Linked DNA regions of Rattus norvegicus. The protein of the gene in region 1 purifies or fractionates together with the protein of each later gene. This does not show direct contact. Links are inferred from orthologs where the notes say so. Each region holds a gene or a part of one and is shown in the gene's direction. Other genes may lie near its edges. The genes, in order: Rrp1b, Npm1, Ddx21, Srsf6, Srsf1 and Lyar.

Region 1 (3,500 bases):
ATTTGCCCAGAGCACAACCTAGAGGAATCTCTTGGCATTTCAGCCCTCCCCTCCTAACAGGAGACTGGAGTGCAAACCCTATTGCACAAGCACCAGCAAGGTGGCTCTGTGCTTTCTGGCTTTGCAGCATTTGGTACTCAGGATAGATTCAGTTTAGTCTACATCTTAAAAACAGAGTGGGGCATGGTAACATGCACCTTTAGTCCCCGAGCTTAGGGGACAGAAACAGGTGGTTTTCTCTGAGTTCAAAGCTAGCCTAGTCTACAGAGTGAATTCCAGGACAGCTGGGGCTGTGTAGAAAAAGCCTGTCTCCGAAAAAGGAGGGGTGGGGTGGGTGTTGGCAGTGAGATTGTTTTCCTGGAATCGTCCAACCTCCCACCACAGACACTTTCTTGAACACAGTTTTAGCATTTTTCCAGAAGCATATGGCATTAGCCCAGTAGTTGATTGAAGTTTGGAGTTACACATTTGATAAAGCCTGAGGTGTCAGCCACAGATCTAAAACAAGAAGCCCAGGCTTTCCCACCACAGAGGGAGAGGGATGCAGCCCGCAGCACCCGCATCAGTGTGACCACCTAATAACCGATGTTTTCCCCGCCCGCCTTTGCAGGAGGAGCTAGCGAACATTATTTCCCAACTCATCCACGTTGTTAACAGCTCCGAGGCTCGTAAGTCCTGCCGTTTTCCTGGCTCTGACTTCCTTGGTAGCAGGTCTGATAGCTTACCTGGGGAGCCTAGTCAGTGCTTTTCTTCTGGTCTGGGAATGAGTGATATGGCAGCCTCTGCTAGTGCTGAACAGAGGTCATATGACATTTCAGACACTGATCAGCTCCCAAACTCAGGCTGCCCTCACACTTAGAAGCTGTGACGCCTTTGCCACTGCACCCTGGCTGAGATTAGAGCCATCTTGACTATAAATCACTGTAATAAAGTGTAAGGTAACCCTGCTCTACCTAAAAGAAAAGGTGGAAATTTCTGAAGCTGGACAACAGTCAGTCCTGTTTGACACCTTCTGAATTCTGGCTGACTTACAACACCCAAGATCCTGCATTTGTTGTATAGTAAAGATTTGCGTTTGTTTATAAATTGTGCTGGGCATGGTGGTATATGTCTGTAATCCCAACATCTAGAAAGCTAAGGTAGGAGGTGTGAGAGGCCAGCCTGGGTAGCAGCCAACCCCTACATTCGAAGGAAGTGTTCAAAAGTCAGTAAGTGGGGAATCTGTGGATTAGATAATGTGTCTCACCCAGACAGCATGCACATCAGAAGGATGGATAAAGACCAGTGCCTTGGGAGCGCTTTGACCGAGACGCTGACGGCATCTGTTGTGATGTCTTTATAGCTGCAAAGGAAATCACTGAGCATAGTTAGCCATTGGCCAAGCTCCACCTGTCCAAGAATTCTGAGATAGACACGTAAAGAGAACTGGGTGTGTTTTCTGTCGTTCCTTCCTGCTATGTGCTCCTGCGGCAGCAGGGCACTGAGAGCCTCTTGTCCCTGCAGAGCACCTGTTTATTCAGACCTTCTGGCAGACCGTGAATCGAGAGTGGCAAGGGATAGACAAGCTGCGACTGGACAAGTACTACATGGTAAGGTGGTGCCTCCCCATGCGGACCGGAAGAGTTGACACACAGAATGTTCTGTCTGCAGAGTGGCAGAGAGCTGGGGTGCAGCTCGGCACTACTGCACTTGCCTGGCATTTTTTCTTCTCTTTCTGAAGCTGAGTTGGAGTTTGATAAAAGGGTTTCTTGTGTGTGTATTTGGAGGTGGGAGGTTGGTTTTGGTTTTTCAAGTCAGGTTGCTCTGTGTAGCCCTAGCTGTCCTGCACTCACTCTGTATACCAGGTTGGCCTCAAACTCAGAGATCTCAAGCCTTTGCCTCCCAAGCAAACCACTTCCCAGCTTGCTAAGAGGTTTTATAGATTTGTGAACAGTAGAGTTAAGAGATAGAGAGGCTGTTGGGAAGAAATTAACCCACACCCAAGAACATGGGTATGAGGTTCTCAGACAGAGCTTGCCTTGCCCGGCCATCTTCAGACCAAGCTTCCATCCAAAGCAAGAAAATGGTGAAAGTCCAGACGTGCTGTGGCGGAATCAGGCACGTGCCGAAGGTGCCTCTGTTCCCGTCTGAGCTGCTGGGAATGAGGCTGGGAGCGCAGATGTCTTGCATTGGTTTTGTTGGTTTTCTGGGGGTGCGGGGGAGTCTGTGCTGTGCCGTCTCTGGTCTTGGATAGAGGCACTTACTACCCCTGTCTGCCTCAATGCTGCTAATCCAGAAGCTGAAGCGATTTAAGGACGTTGTCTTGCTTTGGGGACCCAGAACTAGGGTCCTCGTCCTGCCAAGATAATCACTACGTTTTTACTCTTACTATAAAACATGCCGACCCTTAGCTGATCCGCCTGGTCCTGAGGCAGTCCTTCGAAGTTCTCAAGCGGAATGCCTGGGAAGAGAGGTGGGTAAACCATTTGCGTGGACGTGTGGTGGCGTTAAGAGCATGTCAGAGTTGCTGGGTGGTTCAGTGGTGGAGCACTTGCCTGATGGGTATGAGGCCCTAGTTCTGATCTTTAATGTGCTCCCCCACATCTTTATAGAACAATGGGGTCCTCTGGGATTCTAGGTAATCAGAAGCATGAATTGGCTCGTCTCTGCCTGCCATGCTTAGTGCCATGAGAAGCAAGTAGACGCTGAGCCAAGGGAGGGTAAATCCAGGGGAGCCCGAAACGGTCACTTGAAGCCAATGAAGAGCAGTTTCTTCTCTTGGGGCCTCACATTGACTTACACAGTACGAGCAGTAAATGCGTATTTTTGTCTGTTCTTTGAAAAGAGGGAGGTATTGGCGATAATGTCTTTAAAAAAACCAACTGTGTTATTGGTTTGTTTTCTTGCTGTTCTTCAGCCAAATCACACTGTTTCTGGACATCCTGATGAAGGAGATCCTGAGTCCCGAGAGTCGGTCCCCCAACGGAGTGAGATCCCACTTGATTGATGTGTACTTGGATGAGCTCTCCACTGTGGGAGGGAGAGAGGTGAGGAGCAGCGCTGCGCTGGGACCACCATGCCGGGGCTTGTTATGGGCACTGTCAGCACCAGCAGCCTCTCTGAGGCTTCTCCCCTCCTGGCACCCTGTCCCAGACAGCTAGTGGGCTGTACCTGTGTCTGGAAGTCTTACCTGTGAAGTAGGATTGAGCCGCACACTCAGCTGGAGTAGCTGAGGCAGGAGAGTCGTTTGAGCAAGGAATGCAAGGCCCGTGTTCAGGCCTTGCGGACACTGAAAATCTCAGCACTGACTACACATCTCACGTTCCAGGGCGGCCTGTGCCATGCCACACCACACCACACAGCAAGGCCCTGCCGCTGCCCGCAGAAAAACAGCGTCCAGAGGGAAAGGAAAGAAAGGCAGGGTGTACCGCCTAGTCCCAAAGCTGCGGGAAAGCCGGTAGACGGTGCGGTTACCCAATATAAGCCGACAAAAGGCTAGAAAGAAAGGTGCACTTTTATGT
Region 2 (3,500 bases), on another chromosome or scaffold:
ATTATTATAGGAGTTGGCCTATCAAGTTTGATTTTATCCTATCCTAACTTTGAAGCATCTCTCCCAACCCCTTTTTTAAATATGAGTACACTGTTGTCACTGTCTTCAGACAGTCTTAAGAGGGTATCAGATCCCATCACAGATGCTTGTGACTTGATTTTTTTTAAAGGATGACCTACTTGGTTCTCTGAGACTAGCTAGGAAGAATTACTACAATGCATCAATTTATATTAGCAACTTCTCTGTTTTATCTATAAAAGGAATTGTAAGGATAATAGAAATCCTTGTAATTACTATTTGTTAAGAACTGTACTAACAATTTTAAAAACTTTTCCAGGGTCAAGAGTCCTTCAAAAAACAGGAAAAAACTCCCAAAACACCCAAAGGACCTAGCTCTGTAGAAGACATTAAGGCAAAAATGCAAGCAAGTATAGAAAAAGTGAGTAAAAATTACCTTTAAATAGATTCGTCTTTCTCCCACTTTAAATTGTACTAATATGGGAATTCAGGTTAAAAAGTAGATTATAACAATAATCCTGTGCACTCAAAATTTGGAAGGGTGCACTCCAATCTTACAATGTCCTTTCTGGGGTTATGCTGTAGAACCAGCAGAGGGCGCTTGGTTTTCAGTAAAACTAAAAACAGCTGGAAAAGTAAGACACGAGTGTTTGGCTGCCTGAGATTATAGCTAAGGTGAAAAGGATCACCTTTAAGTATTTCACAACAATTTGAGTTATTTCTGTGCCTTCTGTACCAAAGCACACTCAGTCCATGACCTGAAATTTATGTGTGGCTACTAATAGGCTTTCATCTAGTCTTAGGTAGAATTTCTTTCTTGGCCATTTGGCTGGAACTAATACATTATTATATAAAGCATGTTTGTGTAGAAAATTGAATAATACACATGATTATTGGAAAATTAAAGATTCTCCATTATGATTCCAACATACTGAGTATACATGTGAAATGATAAGGAAATTGCCCAGTCCTGTCCTGGCCTCACATGGCTTCAGAAGTTTCTTCCTTTGCAACCACGAACGGATTGGAATTTAGCACTTGGCCAGCACATATATTTCTTATTTAAACTGTAAACTTAAGTTTCCTGGTGTTGCTGATTTATTTTTTATCCCTTGCATACACTGCTAAAATGATGCCCCTCCCCCCCATTTTAATGTGGTCCTATCTCCTTGGTTTAATTGCAGGCGCATTGAACATTCCTGGGCACTACTGGTAAATTAAGCCCAAAGATGGGGAAAGAGGAAAAGGAGAAACAAATATAGTACCATCAACAATCCAGACTGAAGTCTTCTATTTTAATCTCAATCCCCTTTCCTGATTGGCCATCCATTCCCCCTTGCAGGCTGGAAGCAATCGTTTTCCTAAAGCATTTTTCTTTTTCACTCGTGTGATGCAGAAAACTTGACTGCTTTTCTATACCACTTGTGCATATGCCTTAACTCTGACCATGTTTTAATTTTAACCTTTGTATCCTTAGCTGCTCGAAATAAATTTTTGAATGAACCAATAAGGATGTATGTGACAATATTTTTAAATTGTAGTGAATTATCTTCTAGGTGATGGAGGCAATTTAAGTACTCAAGATGAATCTGGAATTTGGAAGCCTTAGACTTGCTAAGTGCATAAAAATGGAAAAAACCTAAAATTTATAGAGAAGTGGACTTTATTTAGAATAGGGATAAATCTCTGTAGTGATAACTTTATGCTGGTTACAGTTGTACCTAGCTTGTAAGAGTTTTGGTGGCAAAACTGACATTGCTGATACTGTGATTCACTGCCTATATTCATAATTGGAAACATGCCAGGTCGGTGCAACAGTGAGGGTAGCATTTTAGAACCCTTTGATTGTGTGCTTTTTGGAACACTTTTATAAACAGTTTTGATTTAATTTGGTTTTTTGGTGGTAGGTGATGACACTAACTTATTATAATAGGCACCAAATTGCTGTATTTGCATGCTGGTAGAACCATACAGTTTTAAACTGGCAGTTTGGAAGGAATTGGACTTTAAGCAGTGAAAAACCATTCTTTCTGAGGTTTGGTCCTCGATGTTTTGTTTTTTTTTTTTTTTAATCAAATGGTAGTGTTGAGGGATAGTTTGTGTAATGGCATGCAAGTCTTTGGAAGTTTTCTAATTGTGTCTCACTTCTGTGCTTGTCCTTAATAATTAATGCTTTCTTCCTCAATAGGGTGGTTCTCTTCCCAAAGTGGAAGCCAAGTTCATTAATTATGTGAAGAATTGTTTCCGGATGACTGACCAGGAGGTAACTGAATTTTCTGTGGACATGACCAAATCTAAAATTTTCATTGTGATTTATTATGACTCTTACTTTTAGACTCTTAAGTTATTGGCTTCTTGTAAAAGGTTCCTAACCACAGACAGTACTTAAATACATGGAAAGAATTTAATTGGCAGACTGAGCAAATAATTTTTAGTGCACATTTTTTCCCCAGCTTTTTAAATAGTTGGTCAATTATCTCTTGGTTACTGAACTTAGTTTTACTCTTGGTAGTGTGTTGGCTAAGGAAATAGGCTGTGGCTTTTTATTTGCTCCATTTGGCTGCTTTACACAGTCTGATATTTGCTCTCTTGGGAGTGGTAGTGTCTTCTCCAGATAGTGAAGGGGGGGAGAACAATATTGGTAAAATCAAACTAGGATAGGTTAAAAAGCCTCATGCATGTGAGATAAATGGTATGGTTTATTGTGGTGGAGTCACTTGGGCCATGCAAGGGTGTGAATTTAAATTTTCTATTAGTTGTAAATAGGAAATATGGGTTTTGTTAGACCTTCTGTATGAACAGTTGATTTAAAGGGTTTCATCAGTCTGAGCTATAGGTGTCTATCCAAACTTCATTAAGAACAGGTTATGTCCCTTTGGGTTTCTCCAGGTTGTGTTCTTTTGCTTTGTAATACTTGCCTGGACTTTACTGTAAACTCAAATTCTGAGTCCCTAAATAGGGTTGACCCACACAGACAGGAGGCAGCATTGGCCATAAAGTCATGGCTAAGCCATTTAGTTAGGAGTCTCATTCATGGCTATGTTTGAGTTAAAATTCTGCATTTTCTCTTTATATGATGAAAACATTAACTTTAATTTTATAAAGTTAACATTTCTTTACCATTTTTCCTTTTTACAGGCTATTCAAGATCTCTGGCAGTGGAGGAAGTCTCTTTAAGAAAATGGTTTAAACAGTTTGAAATAATTCTGTCTTCATTTCTGTAATAGTTGCTATCTGGCTGTCCTTTTTATAATGCAAAGTGAGAACTTTCCCTACTGTGTTTGATAAATGTTGTCCAGGTTCAATTGCCAAGAATGTGTTGTCTAAAATGCCTGTTTAGTTTTCAAGGATGGAACTCCGCCCTTTACTTGGTTTTAAGTATGTATGGAATGTTATGATAGGACATAGTAGTAGTGGTGGTCAGATGTGGAAATGGTAGGGAGACAAATATACATGTGAAATAAACTCAGTATTTTAATAAA
Region 3 (3,964 bases), about 21 Mb from region 1:
TTCTTAGAGTCTGTGAGATGGTGCTTGCTACCTCGTGATGCAAGCTTGAAGAACTGAGTTCTATAGTCAGAGCCCACATAAAGAAAATCGGTTCCACTCTCATTTTTTAAAACTACTATGATTAACTGTCTCTCATTCCTTGAATCACTGGCTCTTCAGAAGAAGTTCAAAAACTTATTACCAGTGTGGTGGTGCAAATTTTTAATCCCAGCATAGGTAGATCTCTTGAGTTCAAGAGCAGTCAGAGATGCACCTCAAAACTAACATTGTCACTGATCATTCAATTGGCCACTTTCCCTTATCTAATGGAAGTAATAAACTGTCCAATTTAAGAATCTTTGAGAACCCATTCCAAGTCTCAAGGCCCTGTTATTAATCATAAAATTTTGTTGCTACTTCGTAACTGTAATTTCGCTATTGAATCTTAATGTAAATATTTGATATGTGACCAAGGGTAAAAGGGTCGTTGAACCCCAACTGAGTAGCGACCCAGGGATTGAGAAACTTTGGTCTATAGTGCTTGAGGACAAACAGGGCTTATTAGAATCCTGTCACTATGCTCAGGAGAATGCTCAGGAAGTTTATCAAGTGCACACATGAATAAAGGGCCAAACTTCTACCTCTTGCTCTTGAGTGCTGAGATTAGCGGTGTGCACCCTATACGCCCTGCCAATTCTGGTTCTTTTAAATTGCTCATATTGTTGTGCGGCATGCATATGGATGTCTTGAGTGCCATTGCACGGGTGCGCTTAAAAACAAGTAGTAGGCTGCATAGTAGATTCTGTTTTCAAATTCAGGTCACCAGGACCAAGGTATCTCGCTGGTCCCTGAATTCCAGTGCTCACCAGGCACCTGGGTTTAGCTGTCACCTCCCATCAGTTTTCCCACAGGTGGCGTACATATCGCACGACTTTTCGTGGAAAAATGTTGCCGGCTGGTAATTCCAGACTTGGGAAGTGGAGAAGCAGGGTCAGATTCAAGGTCGCTAACCAAATCTAGCCGGCTCTCTCCTCCACGCTGCACAGACGGATCCCATCCAAAGCCATGCGAATCGCAGCCACACCGGTGTACGCTACTTCCGCCGGATGCGCTCCGCTCCGGAAGTGACGAGCGAGGCCGGGCTGGGAGGCGGTCGGCTTTCTCTGTCGCTCTCTTTCCTTTGCACGCGGTTGTGGAAGCCGGTAGGCCTGAGCTGCTCCTGCTGAATAATGCCGGGAAAACTCCGCAGTGCGTCCAAGTCGGAGTCAGAAGGGACCGAGGAGAGTATGGAGACGCTGCAGAAGCCAAGCGAGAAGGTGAGCCTGGGGGCCCTGAGCTGGGTCAGGCTGGACCCGGTGCGCGTGGTCGGCCCTCTGACACGCTGTGCCCGCTGGCCAGGCTTGAGAGTGCGGAAGGGGATTGCCGATCGCGTCACAGTGGGGACTGGAGCTGGAGACAGCAAAGTCTGAAACTTGCGCACATGGTCCGCATCTGCTGTGACACAGACACGATTCCCCCTTTAAAAAAAAAAGCTGAAAACGAGATGGTCTAAGTGATGATCATCAGTAAAATGATCTGCGTGAGCACTGTTGAATCTCCTTGTCTTTTCTTAAATCCTTTCATGAAAAGACTTAACTTGTGACAGTCTCTAATGATCTAAGTAAGAGGAGACGAAAATTATCCCGGAACTCCTATGTAGTACGACTTAGTTGAGGTTTTTTTCTGTCTCCGGGGCTTTTAAGGTAGGAGCCTTTTAAAGAAACAGCATTATTATTTGGATTAGGTGGAAACCACAGGGAGCAGCACAGCGTTCCCGGTTTGCGTCCGCGTGTTCTGCAGGGGGATGCTGAAGTCAAGAGGGAACCTGACCACGAGTTTATGTTCCAAACTCGACTTAATATTTTTCACATATGTAACAGATAGATGTTCACAGGGCGTAGAGATTGTCCATGATCCATTATTTTTAAGATGTGTTTTATAGTACCAGGAACCAAATCTTGGGCTGCTCACGTGTTGGCAGGTGCTGGGCCACTGAGTGGCAGCTCTATCCCTTAGCCCAGCGGTTCTCACCCTGTCAGATATTCTGCATATTAGATTTACATTATGATTCATAACGGTAGCAAACTTTGAAGTAACAACGAGATAATTTTATGGCTGGGGGGTCACTAAAATATGAACTATTTGGAAAGTTGAGAAAGAAAGACTGCCTTAGGCTATTATGTGAGAACTTAGTTAGTCCATTGCGATTTGGTCCTATGCTTATTGTCTGGGGCACTACTAGGTGGCTAGTAATCACTACAAGTTTTCCACGACATGAAGAGTTGTACTTTTAAATAAAGTTTCACATGTGAGAATGGTAGATTGGATGAAGTTTTTTGTTTGTTTCATATAGTGTCTATGTGAATTCACAGTGAAGTACAAACTTCTTGCGTGTTTACCATATAGAGGGGTTGGGGATTTAGCTCAGTGGTAGAGCACTTGCCTAGCAAGCACAAGGCCCTGGGTTCGGTCCTCAGCTCCGGAAAAAAAAAAAAAAAAGACAAAATAACCATATAGAAATTTAGGAGGGAAAAGAAAACTGCTTTTGCAATTATCTGAGGACACACAAACCTTTGGGCAGTGCTTGTTCACTGTTACAGTGTGTGCTCCTGTATGGGGATGGATGTGCTTGCCCATACAGCTAGTTAGAGGGCAGTGTTAGCTACCCCACCTCACCAAGACCCTAACCTGCATAACCCTGGTCACTCTGGAACGAATTCTGTAGACCAGGCTGGCCTCAAACTCCTGAGTGCTGGGATTAAAGGTGTGTATCGACCCTTCCCCAGCATGGAGTGACAAGGTTTCTCTCCGAATCTGGAGCCCTTTGATTCACCTAGTCTGGCTAGCTCCCTACTCCACCCCCACCAGCTGGGGTGACAAGCATGTGCTATCATACCCATTTTTTTCCCTGTGGGTGCTAGAGCTTCCTGTCAACCCCTCATGATGGCACAGTAAGAATTTTGCCTCCTGAACCATTTTTTGGAGTATGTAGTTTAGAGCCTTGGGAATCTCTCTAAAAAAATTAGTTTTATAATGGTTGGCTGATAAAACCTGACTTAGTTTGAAGAACTCTTTTATTCCCCCATGCTAATGACTATTGGTATATACTTATTTCCACTTATCTAAGAAGTGGTATTAAAAGCATATTGTGAGACTTATTTTTTAATTAAAATTACATTAAGCCAGGTGCAATAGCATATGACTTTAATCTTAGGAGGCAGAGGCAGTCAGATCTCCATGAGTTCAACAGCAGCCTGGCCTGCAGAGTGGCCCAGGATCGCCAGAGCCACACCTTGTCTCTCTAACGTTGTGATTCTAATTACATCATCACTCCCCCTCCCTCCCTCCCTCCCTCCCTCCCTCCCTTCCATGTAATTTCCACTTTGCTCCATTTCAAATCCATGGTCTCCTTTTAAAGTGATTGCACACACACACACACACACTGTACGTGTATAACATCAGGGTTGATTTTTAACTTCTACAGCGTTGAAATGCCTAAAGCTGTGTTTTTCACAACTGTAAGTAGTCCTGTGGTAATCCAGAATTGATGGGCCTTATACAGTATAGCAGCTTTATTCATTATTGCGGTTTTTGCTGTGTCTTTTATAAATTTTTAGAAAACTAGAAAAGAGAAGCCAAAATCTAAGACTGACGAGGCAACAGAAGGAGTGGAAGAGGCCGCTTCCTCCAAAGTGAAAGCAGTTAAAAAGAAAGGGCCTTCTGAGGATGATGTGGGTCCCCCTAAATCCAAGAAGGCCAAGAAGCAGGAGGAGGAGCCTCAAGATGACCCTGCTTCTAAAAGCAAAACCTCCAAGAAGAAAAAGGAGCCCCTAGAGAAGAAAGCACCCTCTGCTAAAACCAAAGAAATGAAAGCCGAGGAGCCTTCTGAGGAAGAGGCAGACGCTCCTAAGCCCAAAAAGACAAAGAAAGGGAAGGAAGCAAACGG
Region 4 (4,277 bases), on another chromosome or scaffold:
TTGAACTCAAGACCTCTGGAAGAGCAGTGAGTGCTCTTAACCGCTGAGCCATCTCTCCAGCCCTAGTTATTTGTTTATTGAAAGCATAACAAGCATGAGGAGGTCAGATTTCAACTAGCAAAAATTGTTTTTTTGTTGTTGCTGTTGTTCCTCCTTCTACCTTGTGGGTTGTAGAATCGAACTCGGGTCCTCCGGCTTGGCAGCAAGCACCTTTCTTTACCTGCTTCGGTCTTCTCACCACTCACAAATAAAATTTAACACGTTTTAAGAAATTGACAATTTGATAAAAGGAAACTTAAGTATTGAATTCATTCTGTGTTCCATGAATATTTTTTTAAGGCTGTGTACCTATATTTTTTCTAGTTCTAACTTAAGGAAGTTAGTTCTCTTCCCTCCAGATAATATTATTAACTCATCTCCTGGGTTGCTACTCTAATTGCCGGTCTGGCCCAGATAACAGAATCGCCTCTTCCCATCCTAGTTGAAAAGCCTGGGGCTGTGGAGATTCCGGGCAGAAAACAAATTCCTGAAGAACACGTACTAGCTCGGTTACAGTCTTTTCTCCCAGCTTCCATCACACTATGTCTGCTTTCAGTTTCCTTACCTCTCTAGCCAAAGCTTGGCCGTCCTTAATTTCCGAGTACTCCCAAGGCATGCTCCTATCGTAGTCAATTAACTTTACTCACGGAGAGGGGGAGACTGTGTTTTGTTTATCTACCTCTACAGCGTTAAATGTCACCTCCATAAACTCCTATGTGTGTGTTTCTGTTTCATATATAGTTTGCCTTCGGAGTCAACCAGGTTAAGGACAGTAAGGGTAGGGGTCGGGGGTTTTGGAGAACCACAAGGTCTGATTCCAAGCTTCCAGCGCCCGCCTGTTGGTGCATGGGGCCCACCCATAGTCCCTTTGTGAAGAGTCGCCGCGAGCGCGGGATTCAGAGCTGTCAGAACTCGGAGCAGAGTGAGGGACGCCACCGAGATCCGCCACAGCACTCCCCTGCGGGTCACTAAACCTCAGGGACAGATCCCAGGTCTCTGAGAAACTAAGGAACTGTCCGACTCCCAAGAGTCCTCTATACCCATCGAAACCAGCACGAGCTACCCGCTGAAAGGAAAGTGCAACCTCTTTTTCTTAGTACACCAATCAGAGAGCAAGATTGTCTAGACCGACTGCCCGGACAACCAATGAGAAATAGGATTTTGTTCTCCGCGTGCCCGGGCACAAGAACAGTTTATTAATGGGTACTAGTCAAAGGTCCCGGTCTCGGCTGTGTTCGGAAGAGGGTGCCGAGCACCAGGGGACATCAGGGAAGCGAGCTCGGCTCGCACCTAGCCCAGCACACGCTGCAGCCGCCCCAGCCCCTCTGGAGTGGAACGCGGCGCGGGAGAGGACGTGCTGCGCGCCGACGTCACGCGCCGCGCCCCGCCCCCGGTCACTTATAGCGTAGGCCAGCGCGCGCGCGCGCACCATTGTGTGGCTGACTCGGCCGCAGCTGCGGTGTGAGGCGCGTGTTCGGGCCTTCGCCGTCCCCGCACCCGCACCGCAGCCCCTGCCCCGCGGCCCGCCGCACCTCAGCTAGCCTCCGGGAGAACACCCACCACGGCCATGCCGCGCGTCTACATAGGACGCCTGAGCTACAACGTCCGCGAGAAGGACATCCAGCGCTTTTTCAGCGGCTACGGCCGCCTCCTCGAAATCGACCTCAAAAATGGGTGAGTCGGGTCTGGGAGGCCGCGCCCCGAGGCGGAGAGATCCCCCAAGGACCGAGTCGGCCAAGGCCGGGACGCCGCGTGGCAGGGCCTCTAAAATGGCGGCGGCGCCTCGAGCGCGCGCGGGGGAGGTCGCGGGAGCGCGCGGCGCCGGCTAACGACACGCCCGCCGGTGCGCGGCTCGCGCTCCGCCCCTCCTCAGGTACGGTTTCGTGGAGTTCGAGGACTCCCGTGATGCGGACGACGCCGTTTACGAGCTGAACAGCAAGGAGCTGTGCGGCGAGCGCGTGATCGTAGAGCACGCCCGGGGCCCGCGCCGGGACCGCGATGGCTACAGCTACGGAAGCCGCAGTGAGTCCTACCCCCGCGCGCTCCGCGTCCTGGGTACCTGGGGGGGACGGGGCGGGTGCAGTCACCGGGGTGGGCAGGGTGGGACCTCCCCAGCCCGGGCAGGCGCGGAGGCCGGGGGTTGTCGGCCCTGGGTGTTCCTAGGCTCCTCTACCTCCACGCATGCCCGGGTAGCCGTGGGACACCGGAGCGCGGGGAATGGGGTCGGATGGCCAGTTGACTTAAGTTTGGGAGGAGTGGCCTAAGTTGGCCCTCTGGCACTGACGTGGTTTCTGCCATTATTGAACGCGAGGGTTGGCTGTATTTGTACTATTCCCCCTTGCTTATCTGTCAGTGCTTTTAGCTAGCGTGGAGGAAGTTTTAAGGAAGGCTGGGGTGGAGGTGGGGCAGGGGGCGGGGAGAGGGGAGGAGCTTGAAGCCTAAGTCTTAGAGATGGGAGACTTGGGGGGCAAAGAAAGTGCCATTTTAAACTAAGTAATGTGGCATAGTACCACCAAGTAAATCTAAATAAGCTTTATGCTGTATCTGAACTAGTTGGCATGTTACTGGGAGGGGGTTGGGGGGATTTTGGTTATGTGAAATGTTTAATGTTGAAATTGTTGCATGTTGAATTCAAACTTTTTAACAAGTCCTTGATGTTTCAATTTGAAAGTGACCAATGGGGCTGAGGCTGTGTCCACTGAGGCTAAGATGACTGCCTTTCCTGATTGGCCTTGGCTTTTCCATACATTGTGTGACCCTTGCCCTATGACCCTTTGGCTGACCTTACCGGAAGCCATGACGACAGCAGCCTTTTGCCATTAGACGCAGGGTGATGGTGAGGATTCCAAGGGTTAGACAAAACTGGTTAATCTGAACTAGGTGACTGTTACCTTGCGTGTTTTGTGGCCAAACCACCACCAAAAACCTCACACTGTGATGTAAGTACTTAGTGTAACTAGTAAACATTTTTGTAAAATGTAGAAATGCATGTAATCAGTTAAGTTTTATATTTTACAATGTTCTGTAAAATAAAACTTAGCGAGGTAAATTGAATAAAGGAGCAGTCACTCTCTAACAGATTGTAGGAGAGGTTTAGTTGGATATAGTCTTATTTGACTTGCCCTTAATTTAATTTGTGGCAAATCACAAATGTATCGAGGGTTTAGCAGTATAATAGCAAAGTCCTACTCCAGTAAATAAACGTTGCTATGTTTGTACTAACTTTCAAAAACATGTGTCCCTGTCATTGCAATACATTAACTACTCCCTCCGTGTGATAAAGGTGGTGGAGGTGGATACAGCAGTCGGAGAACTTCTGGCAGAGACAAATATGGACCACCTGTTCGTACAGAATACAGGCTTATTGTAGAAAATCTATCTAGTCGTTGCAGTTGGCAAGACTTAAAGGTACGTCCTGAGGTTGAAAACAGGGCAGTGGCTTCCCTGAGAGTTGAGGCTGCATGGTTTTGCTTCTGACTTCTGAGGCTCACCAGTCTTAACTGTTTTAGGATTTCATGCGGCAAGCAGGAGAGGTGACTTATGCAGATGCTCACAAAGAACGAACAAATGAGGGTGTAATTGAATTTAGATCCTACTCTGACATGAAGCGTGCTTTGGATAAACTGGATGGCACAGAAATAAATGGCAGGAATATACGGCTTATTGAAGATAAGCCACGAACAAGCCATAGGCGCTCTTACTCTGGAAGTAGATCCAGGTAATGGGCTCGGGGAGGCTTGTGATTTTTCAGTTGTTGCCTAATTGTGTTTACAGTGTTTTTTGGTTATAGTAAGCAGATATTCCAGCCATAGCTAAGTTGTTCAAACAGGTTCTTGGAAAGATTAAAATGTTACTGTCTCTTGTGTGTAGATCACGGTCTAGAAGAAGATCTCGGAGTAGGAGTCGCAGAAGCAGCCGCAGTAGATCTCGAAGTATCTCAAAAAGTCGCTCGCGGTAAATAATGTGGTATTGGGTCTCTTAATTTTACCACTTGATGGAGTACAAGTGTTTTCTGATAAAATACTGAAAAAAATCTGGTTTTTCTTGTACAGATCTAGGTCTCGGAGCAAAGGTCGATCCCGATCCCGCTCAAAGGGCAGGAAATCCAGATCAAAGAGCAAATCTAAGCCCAAGTCTGATCGGGGTTCCCATTCACATTCAAGAAGCAGATCTAAGGATAAGTATGGGAAGTCACGAAGTAGGTCACGTTCTCGGTCCCCCAAAGAAAATGGAAAAGG
Region 5 (4,253 bases), on another chromosome or scaffold:
GCAGCAGATGGCTCATCTGATAAAGATGCTCCTCAAAAGCCTGACCACACATAGTGCAAGTGGTGAACTGCACTTTATTTTCTAACTTTCACACATGGGCTGGGGCATGACCCACCACCCCAAGGCACAATATGCATAAAATAAAATTGAAAACTAAAAATTACAGTGTAGAGAATCAACCTTAAAATTTCCGGGGATCCGATTTAGCATACTTATTCGAGATAGGAACTGCACAGCTCTGGCTGGCCTTGAACTCCTGAGATTCTGAGGCCTACTTTGAAAGGAATGCGCCACCACACCTGGCTGTCTTATTATCTAAACAGGAAAGGTTCTGGTTTTAGCCAGGAGGTGGTGACTCATCTTTGATCCTAGCACTTAGAAGGCAGCAGGATCTGAGTTCCAAAACAGCCAGGGGCTGTTCAAACCAAAACAGAAACCCGAAACTCAAAAACAATGCCAAGAAAAAGGTTTGTTTTTAAAAAATTTTAATAGAAAGGGTTTCCCTGCATGTCCCGGGCTGACCTTTAATAGAAATGTGTATCACAGAGTAGGTTTATCACCTCCTTGCCTCAGCTCCCAGAGTGATAGGATTTCAGGCACACAGACTTAAGTCCAGCTTAGTTTTGTTTTAATTAAAAAGCCTGTATGATTTCACAAATAAAACTCTCCTATTCCCGTTATTACAAAACAAAGAAGCAAAATTGTGGTATCCAGTACAAAAATCCTATTTCAGATAATCTCGGGGAAAAAGTTATCTCCCTAGACTAGCACCGAACCCGGATCTCGGCCCAAAGAAGCAGTTAGTATTTTATCACGTTTCCTTTTTCATCCTTTGAAAGGAGGAAGAAAAAAAGCGAAGGCACGGTTCATCTAAATAGATATGGAGGATCCGTCTAGACACTTTTAACTGTGTAAAATGCAGCCCACCGCAGGTTCGCAGAAGCAAAAGCCACACAGCTCCCCTTAGGCTGTTAAACGAATCTCCTGCAACTCGGCCGGCCGCACCGAAGTGCTAAAGTTGCCCAGGTTTCCGGAGCAACACCCAGCGTCATCTAGCTCCGCCCCCTACGCCTTTCCCGCCAAAGGCCGTTACCACCGCGGAGCATGTTGGGACACAGTTGCAGGCTAGGTTTCACCCAATCTTTTTAAAGCGCCGAGCTGCTTCCAGAGAGAGTTTACGCCAGAGGAAACCGACTATCCTGGACTCAGCAGGATTGGTAATAACCCCTTTAACCAGAGTATGTGACTTTTACCAAACGTCTGGCCGCTCCACCAGCCAATCATCCCATAAGCCCAGGACCCGAGGGACTTTTTCCCCTCCGTGCGGAGGGTGACGTCGCGCGTGCGCGAGCGTACTTCTCAGCACCCGTTACGCTCGTGCGCGTGCGCACTGAAATGGAATAGCCGCTTCCTCCGGCTTCTCTTCCTCCCCCTCCCCCCCATATCAGTGCGCCGAGCTGATAAAGGCGCCATTTTGGACCGGCCGCGGGAGACGTGGTGCCGCTGAGGGCTCGCTCTGCCGTACGCTAGGCTTGGTGGGAAGGCCTCTTTTCGAGTCCGCGCTTTTCGTCGCCGCCATGTCAGGAGGTGGTGTGATTCGTGGCCCGGCAGGGAACAACGACTGCCGCATCTACGTGGGTAACCTACCTCCAGACATCCGAACCAAGGACATTGAGGACGTGTTTTACAAATACGGCGCTATCCGCGACATCGACCTGAAGAACCGCCGCGGGGGACCGCCCTTCGCCTTCGTTGAGTTCGAGGACCCGCGGTGAGGCAGCGTGGGGCTTGCGGCCTTGAGGAGATAGGCTGGAGTAGTTGGGGAAGGCTCCGAGGCCTTAACATAATGGGGGAAGGAGGGGCTCCGAGGCTGGGAGCGAGGCGCTATCGCCCCTGCAGGAGTCGAGTAAGGAGCCGAGTCGGCGCGTTGTCTCCGGTGGCTGACCGCCTCGGACGTCCCCAGAGCCCATGCGCAGCCCCGGAGCGGGAAACTGAGGCGCTGAGGGCTGGCGTGGTGGTCGGGAGTCTGCCCGGCGTGTTTCTGGGTGGGGGAGGGGCCGGTCCTATTATGCAGCGCATGTGGGCTCTGGCACCATGGGTGCGCATGTGCGCTGTCCGCGGGTTCCCGAGTGAGTTAGCTTTGCCAGCGGCTCCCTCCTCATCCCCTTTGCTTTCTGTGATCACACGCAGAGACGCGGAAGATGCGGTGTACGGTCGCGACGGCTACGATTACGACGGCTACCGTCTGCGGGTAGAGTTTCCCCGAAGCGGCCGTGGGACCGGCCGAGGCGGCGGCGGGGGTGGAGGCGGCGGAGCCCCGAGAGGCCGCTATGGCCCGCCATCCAGGCGGTCTGAAAACAGAGTGGTTGTTTCTGGTGAGTTGACTTCGTGCGGGTTAAAATTTTTCCCGCGTGATTGTTTTGAGGTCTGCAAGTTTTCTGTTTTGCTTTAAACATGGGGTCTTAAACTACTTCGGTCTTTCGGGTGAATTTAGTAAATGAAGATTACTGTGGTGGTGATTTACCCAAATTAGGTTGCAGTACTAGCCTATGAAGATCCTTTACAAATAAATTTGGACTCTGGATCTGACTCTTACCAGCTCTTTACCTGGAAACACTTAAGTACAATCATTAAGTATTTTAAACTAATCTTTGTTTTAATGTACTTACACGTTTGATGTGGGACAGGTTAAGTAGTATTAAGTTGGAGGGACTCACTTTTTCAGGACTGCCTCCGAGTGGAAGCTGGCAGGACTTAAAGGATCACATGCGTGAAGCAGGTGATGTATGTTATGCTGATGTTTACCGAGATGGCACTGGTGTCGTGGAGTTTGTACGGAAAGAAGATATGACGTATGCAGTTCGAAAACTGGATAACACTAAGTTTAGATCTCATGAGGTAGGTTATACACTTATTCTTTTTTTTGGCCAGAATTGGATACAGTTTTCTTAACAGTGGAATTTGAAGGTAAGGATACAGGCAAGGGTGTCCGAGTAAATTACCAGAGACCTGGTCTGTCTTTGTATTCATTCAGCTTGTCTGAAAGACAGGTAAAAGCTTAGATCTTTCAATGGAAAGTTCTGTCTATCCAATAGGGAGAAACTGCCTACATCCGGGTTAAAGTTGATGGGCCCAGAAGTCCAAGTTATGGAAGATCTCGATCTCGAAGCCGTAGTCGTAGCAGAAGCCGTAGCAGAAGCAACAGCAGGAGTCGCAGTTACTCCCCAAGGAGAAGCAGAGGATCACCACGCTATTCTCCCCGTCATAGCAGATCTCGCTCTCGTACATAAGATGATTGGTGACACTTTTTGTAGAACCCATGTTGTATACAGTTTTCCTTTACTCAGTACAATCTTTTCATTTTTTTTAATTCAAACTGTTTTGTTCAGAATGGGCTAAAGTGTTGAATTGCATTCTTGTGTAATATCCCCTTGCTCCTAACATCTACATTCCCCTCATGTCTTTGGTAACTTGTATTTTAAGTGATGTCATAGACAGGATTGTTTAAATTTAGTTAATTTCCATGCTCTTCAGACTGTGATATTATGTAAATGTCTATTCTGCTCTGGTTTGTGTGAAATGGGATGTTGGGGGTGTTTGTGGTTATCTTACTTGGGGAAGTTCTTATGTTTATCTTGCTTTTCATGTGTCTTTCTGTAGACATATCTGAAGAGATGGATTAAGAATGCTTTGGATTAAGGATTGTGGAGCACATTTCAATCATTTTAGGATTGTCAAAAGGAGGATTGAGGAGGATCAGATCAATAATGGAGGCAATGGTATGACTCCAAGTGCTATTGTCACAGATGAAATTGGCAGTATTGACCTTATACTAAAAGGCGAGGGTTAAAATTTTATCTACCTTAAAAGACTTGCAAACATCTTATGCAGTTATCTTCAGCTACAATTGCTTTGCTTTTTAAAACCTTGGCAATTGTGGCAAAATTGCCCGTTTTGTAACAGTTATTTGCTCCCTTCCCCCCTTTTTGTTTTAATAGGGACTAATGTGGGAAGAATGGCTAATTTGTCACAGTGCTTAGTTACAACTGTTAATGTGTGGCCTGCTGTTGGTGTACATGTGGGTACAGGGTGTCTATTTCCAAACAGAGTATAATATCAATACTGCTAAATCTGCATGTCCTCTGTGTGACTGATAGAGCGTTGTTATTTCATTTTTTAAAGACAAAAATGACAGCAAAATATAGAATTCCAACATATTAATGTAGATAATCTAGTTGGGAATACTTTTGTCT
Region 6 (4,189 bases), on another chromosome or scaffold:
AAGCCAACCCCAGGCATTGTTCCTCAGGAGCTATCTGGTCACCTTGGTTTGCTGTTGTTGTTGTTTGAGAAAGGGTCTCTTACTTACATGTGAGGCTCACTAACTCCAGGAATCCACCTATCTTCACCTCCCTAGTTCTGACGTTACAAGGCCATGCCACTCAAATGGGTTCTTTATGCATTCCGTTGCATTCTCCAGAACCTCACAATTTGGTTTACCTGTAGCAATTAGACCTTTAGGAAGGGAACTGTGCTTTTTCAAAACAGCCTATTCGGTTGGGCTCTGCAGCAGAAATGTCAGTGCTGCAGTGGCACAGAGGGAAGATTGTGCGGGGATACAACAAGAATGACCACTGGTAAGCCAGGACGGTTCTCTAAAGCAAACAAATTTGAACACACCCCATTCCTGACCATCCATCCTCTAGAAGTGTGAGAAAGTAAATCTCTCTCATCTGAACTACCACATCTGTTGTACCTTGCGTTAGGAGTCACAACAAGCAGAAGGAAACCTCCCAGTCACCAACAAATGCCCATGCCTGGGTCGATGTTTCTCACAATACTGTTCATTGCCTGTTTGACGTTCATTCAACCTTTTAAGCAATAATGACAACTAATGGATACCAGATGCTGTCTTTCAGGTTGAGAACAGCTAACGTCTAGTGAGCACCCACTAAACCGCAGAAGACCACCCAGCACCTGACATGAAACAAATCTTTTAGTCCTACAAGGTCCCGAGGAGTAGGCGCTGCAATAATAGCATTCTACCGATGGGACACCAAGGTACGTAAGGCCATGCGCTGAATGAGGCAGGGCGTGACTAAGGGGTCTGGCCCCTCTCCTATCTAGGGGTGACGCAGGCACCAAGAGCGCGCAGACCGCAGCAGCAAGGGTGACTGCAGGAAAGAGGAGGCCCCGCTCCAGTGCACGGATCTTAGCTTTGTGCTCCGCCAGGCCCCATCACACCGCGCTGTCAGTGGGCCTCGCGCACTCTAGCCGCGCTGACCCGGAGCCCACGCGAGTCGAGTGTCCCAGGACGCCTTACCCACGGAGGCCGCTCTCGCCCGGCCGCCTCCTTGACACTCGTTCTCGTCAAACTGGTGTCAACTGCAGGACTCCAACCGCCTCGGAACCATTCCGACAACGCCCCCTCGGCAGCTCGTCGGCAACTTCCGGCGCCGTCACTTCCGTTTGAGGCTTGGCCTCTATGCGCATGCGCATTGACTCGTGCTAGCCGGGATTGAGTTCTGCGCGGGGAAGCTGGGCGAGCCGGTGGCGGTGCTTCGCTGGGCGGCTGCAGCTCCACGTGCTCCTGGCGGCCGGTTGGGACCGTTGGCGGGGTCGGCTGAGAGGTGAGAGTTGCTTGGAGCCCGGGGCCTGGAGGGAGGGCGATGGCGGCATGGCCGCCTTCCTTGAGGACTCGCTCGCGGGCAAAATCTGGAGTTCTGAGCTGGAGACGTTGCATCCCGGTTTTTAGTCCGGCCCGATGGCATGGTTAGTCCTCACCTCACAGGGCTTTAGACTTGCTGGCTGATGGGGAGAGGGCTTTTCTCTGAATCTCGAGAACTAGGTCCGGAGAAAGGGTCTGAGGGCTCCTTGAGCTTAGAGGACCAAAGACCTAACTAAGTGCCTGCGAATCCCCAAATAGTGATCTAGATACAAGCTATTTAGCCCAGTGGTACCTCCACTCCTGTCCAAAAGGGATACTAGAGGACCTAACTTGGGGTGTGTGTGAATTCTACAAGGGTAAAGACCTTGACGGGAAGTAGTTGCTCGGCAAATGTATTTTCCTGCAGCACCTACCTCCCAGGAGAAAGAAGTAAGAGAGATGATAGGGGTCTGTGAGCCTGTGAGCCTAGCTTCTGGCCATTGAGGCCTAGGGATATGGGGCTTGCTCAAATGGTGGCAAGCGTCTAATGTCTTCATAGTACCTAACAGCTGCAAGTTATTCAGGTGAGGCTGTGGTGAGGAGACTTGAACTGCCTTCCTCAAGGCAGGGGAATGGCTTGGATTATTTGAGCTTCAGTAGAAACATATGTCCCACTCATGGTCTTACCCCGGGTCCTAAGAGGGTGGAGATATGTGCGTGGCTTTCCTCTTTCAGTGCACCTGTGATTTCTACTAATTCTGGAAGGGGCTTGTGTCTAGGTATAGTGGGTGGACTCCCTATTTCAGAGATGGGGAGGACTTGAAGTTTAAAGGGAGCATTTACCAGTCTGGCCTTTAAGATATGCTGTTTGGGGGGCAAATGTAGTCATCATGTGTGCATGAGTTGAAAAAGGGATAGTCCAGTCTGTAAAGTGCTTGACAGACAAGCATGAGGACCTGAATTTTCATGCTCAGAACCCAGGTTAAAGAGCAAGGTGTGGCGACGGATCCCTGTGGCTCACTAGTCAGCTCGCCTGGTCTAATCAGCAAGCCTCCCAACTCCCAGTGAGAGAGAGACAAGGTAGGGGACTGCAGACATGGCTTGGTGATTAAAGTATTTGCTGCTCTTCCAGGAGACCTGAGTTCAATTCCCAGCACCCAAAATCTAAGAGATCTGTATTAGGGTTCTCTAGAGTCACAGAACTTATGGAACATCTATATATTAAGGGAACTTATTGTAATGACTTACAGTTTATAGTCCATCTAACCCAACAGTGCACAACTAACTGTGAATGGGAAGTCCAAGAGTCTAGTAGTTTCTCAGTCCCACACAGCTATGTGTTTCAGCTGTTCTTCTGTAAGCCGGAATCCTGAAGAAGTAGGTTTCAACATATGTGCTGGCAAGTAAGTACAAGCAGGCGGAAAAGAGTGAGCCTTCCTTCTTCCAATGTTCTTATGTGAGCCTCCAGCTGGTGTGGCCCAGATGAAAGGTGTGAACCATCACACCTGGATTTGGAACTTGCTCTGTCCCAGTCTGGACTTGAACTCAAGTTCTGCTTGCCTCGGTCTCCTGGGTTTAAAGGCGTGTACTACCTTGCCTGGGCCTGAGCTTTCCGTGGCCACTATGCCTCAATATATCCATGTTAAGATCCAGGTTAGAAACCTGTATCTTTCAGCTTCAAGATCTGCATCATAGGTGTGCCCTCCATTTCTGGATTGTAATTCATTCCAGATATAGTCAAGTTGATAACCAGGAATAGTCATCACAAGATCTGACGCTGCTTTCTGACCTGTATGAGTACTGGGCACATACCTAGAGGCAAGGTGCTTATAAACATAATAAAATAAATCTTTAGAAAAGAGAAGAAGGTGGGCGGGGCGACTCCTGATTTTGACCTCTGGCCTCCCCAGATTGCTCTTGGTTTTAGTGTTTATCACAGTAATGTGAAGCTAACAGGATGTTGCTGTCTTCGCTTAGCCCAGGATTCTGTTTCATAGCATGTGGCCTTCACACTTCTGATTCTCCTAAGCCTGGACTAAGACTTGGACCCTGCTGGGTGGTCAGTTGAGCTGGCTTTCTGTTCTTTGTAGTCTGCACTGCGTACTTCTCACGAATGGAAGGTGTTTTCTCCAGGTGGATATGCTGCTAAGGTGACTCTGGGCTCCCTCCCTCCCTTCATCTGAATAATCTCCTTACAAATCTTATCTCATTAGCCAGCAGGTGGGCACACTGATTCCCTTCTCATACCCAATAAATAGGTAGAAAACCAGTTGAGCATGGCTCCAGTCTTGATTCCAACCTTCTCCTGAGTTGCTGTTCACACTGTGCCATGACCATGGGGACCTGTTTTTCATAGATGCTGCCAGCATTTTTTTAATTTTATTTTTTATTTATTTATTTATTTATTTTTTTGCCATATCACTTCTGTCACTTGCTGTATCTTGTTTCCAGTGTCCTTCTTGGACTTTAATTCTGATCTTTCCCAGCGACACACCCGTGGATCCCAAGGTTTATCCAAGCCCACCCTCTCCTCTCGAGCTTGACCAGAAACAGCAGTCCTCAGTAACAGAGGTTGAAAAGCTCCAAACTATCTCTAAGTTAGCAGGGTGTTTTCTCCATTGTCCTTATTGCAGAAGCGCTTCCTGGTTTTTCAGTGGACCCTTTAGCTAGTCATAACAGCTGTTGCCTATGCTACCACAGTAGGCCATTTCTTGGTATCCAATTAGTTGTCTTTCCTCTTGTTCTTACATCGATGTGTCAGGATGTCCAGACTGGTGGCAGTAGGCTCTTGTTCTCGCTGTGCAGCAGAACTGCTGACCTTGCT

Evidence for each region.
Region 2: the proteins of Rrp1b (region 1) and Npm1 purify together in Homo sapiens (co-immunoprecipitation; 3 studies listed by BioGRID and IntAct, with this or other methods). This does not show direct contact. The link is inferred for Rattus norvegicus from reciprocal best matches to the Homo sapiens genes RRP1B and NPM1.
Region 3: the proteins of Rrp1b (region 1) and Ddx21 purify together in Homo sapiens (affinity purification with mass spectrometry; 3 studies listed by BioGRID and IntAct, with this or other methods). This does not show direct contact. The link is inferred for Rattus norvegicus from reciprocal best matches to the Homo sapiens genes RRP1B and DDX21.
Region 4: the proteins of Rrp1b (region 1) and Srsf6 purify together in Homo sapiens (affinity purification with mass spectrometry; 3 studies listed by BioGRID and IntAct, with this or other methods). This does not show direct contact. The link is inferred for Rattus norvegicus from reciprocal best matches to the Homo sapiens genes RRP1B and SRSF6.
Region 5: the proteins of Rrp1b (region 1) and Srsf1 purify together in Homo sapiens (co-immunoprecipitation; 3 studies listed by BioGRID and IntAct, with this or other methods). This does not show direct contact. The link is inferred for Rattus norvegicus from reciprocal best matches to the Homo sapiens genes RRP1B and SRSF1.
Region 6: the proteins of Rrp1b (region 1) and Lyar purify together in Homo sapiens (co-immunoprecipitation; 3 studies listed by IntAct, with this or other methods). This does not show direct contact. The link is inferred for Rattus norvegicus from reciprocal best matches to the Homo sapiens genes RRP1B and LYAR.

The regions. Positions count from the first base shown.
Region 1 is NC_086038.1:10,132,825-10,136,324, forward strand, and holds part of Rrp1b (ribosomal RNA processing 1B), read left to right. Parts: intron 1-610; coding exon 611-668; intron 669-1,503; coding exon 1,504-1,589; intron 1,590-2,390; coding exon 2,391-2,452; intron 2,453-2,896; coding exon 2,897-3,026; intron 3,027-3,500. UniProt on the Homo sapiens protein: Positively regulates DNA damage-induced apoptosis by acting as a transcriptional coactivator of proapoptotic target genes of the transcriptional activator E2F1.
Region 2 is NC_086028.1:18,245,742-18,249,241, reverse strand, and holds part of Npm1 (nucleophosmin), read left to right. Parts: intron 1-337; coding exon 338-439; intron 440-1,202; coding exon of another isoform or gene 1,203-1,211; exon of another isoform or gene 1,212-1,525; intron 1,526-2,206; coding exon 2,207-2,281; intron 2,282-3,156; coding exon 3,157-3,195; 3' UTR 3,196-3,500. UniProt on the Homo sapiens protein: Involved in diverse cellular processes such as ribosome biogenesis, centrosome duplication, protein chaperoning, histone assembly, cell proliferation, and regulation of tumor suppressors p53/TP53 and ARF.
Region 3 is NC_086038.1:31,094,439-31,098,402, reverse strand, and holds the start of Ddx21 (nucleolar RNA helicase 2), read left to right. Parts: upstream 1-1,164; 5' UTR 1,165-1,208; coding exon 1,209-1,295; intron 1,296-3,635; coding exon 3,636-3,964.
Region 4 is NC_086021.1:172,007,595-172,011,871, forward strand, and holds the start of Srsf6 (serine/arginine-rich splicing factor 6), read left to right. Parts: upstream 1-1,477; 5' UTR 1,478-1,606; coding exon 1,607-1,713; intron 1,714-1,912; coding exon 1,913-2,061; intron 2,062-3,322; coding exon 3,323-3,447; intron 3,448-3,548; coding exon 3,549-3,757; intron 3,758-3,909; coding exon 3,910-3,993; intron 3,994-4,091; coding exon 4,092-4,277. UniProt on the Homo sapiens protein: Plays a role in constitutive splicing and modulates the selection of alternative splice sites. Plays a role in the alternative splicing of MAPT/Tau exon 10. Binds to alternative exons of TNC pre-mRNA and promotes the expression of alternatively spliced TNC.
Region 5 is NC_086028.1:73,335,045-73,339,297, forward strand, and holds the start of Srsf1 (serine/arginine-rich splicing factor 1), read left to right. Parts: upstream 1-1,453; 5' UTR 1,454-1,577; coding exon 1,578-1,771; intron 1,772-2,190; coding exon 2,191-2,375; intron 2,376-2,725; coding exon 2,726-2,898; intron 2,899-3,095; coding exon 3,096-3,290; 3' UTR 3,291-3,660; coding exon of another isoform or gene 3,661-3,699; 3' UTR 3,700-4,253. UniProt on the Homo sapiens protein: Plays a role in preventing exon skipping, ensuring the accuracy of splicing and regulating alternative splicing.
Region 6 is NC_086032.1:76,799,966-76,804,154, reverse strand, and holds the start of Lyar (cell growth-regulating nucleolar protein), read left to right. Parts: upstream 1-1,389; 5' UTR 1,390-1,490; intron 1,491-2,339; exon of another isoform or gene 2,340-2,445; intron 2,446-4,189. UniProt on the Homo sapiens protein: Plays a role in the maintenance of the appropriate processing of 47S/45S pre-rRNA to 32S/30S pre-rRNAs and their subsequent processing to produce 18S and 28S rRNAs. Also acts at the level of transcription regulation.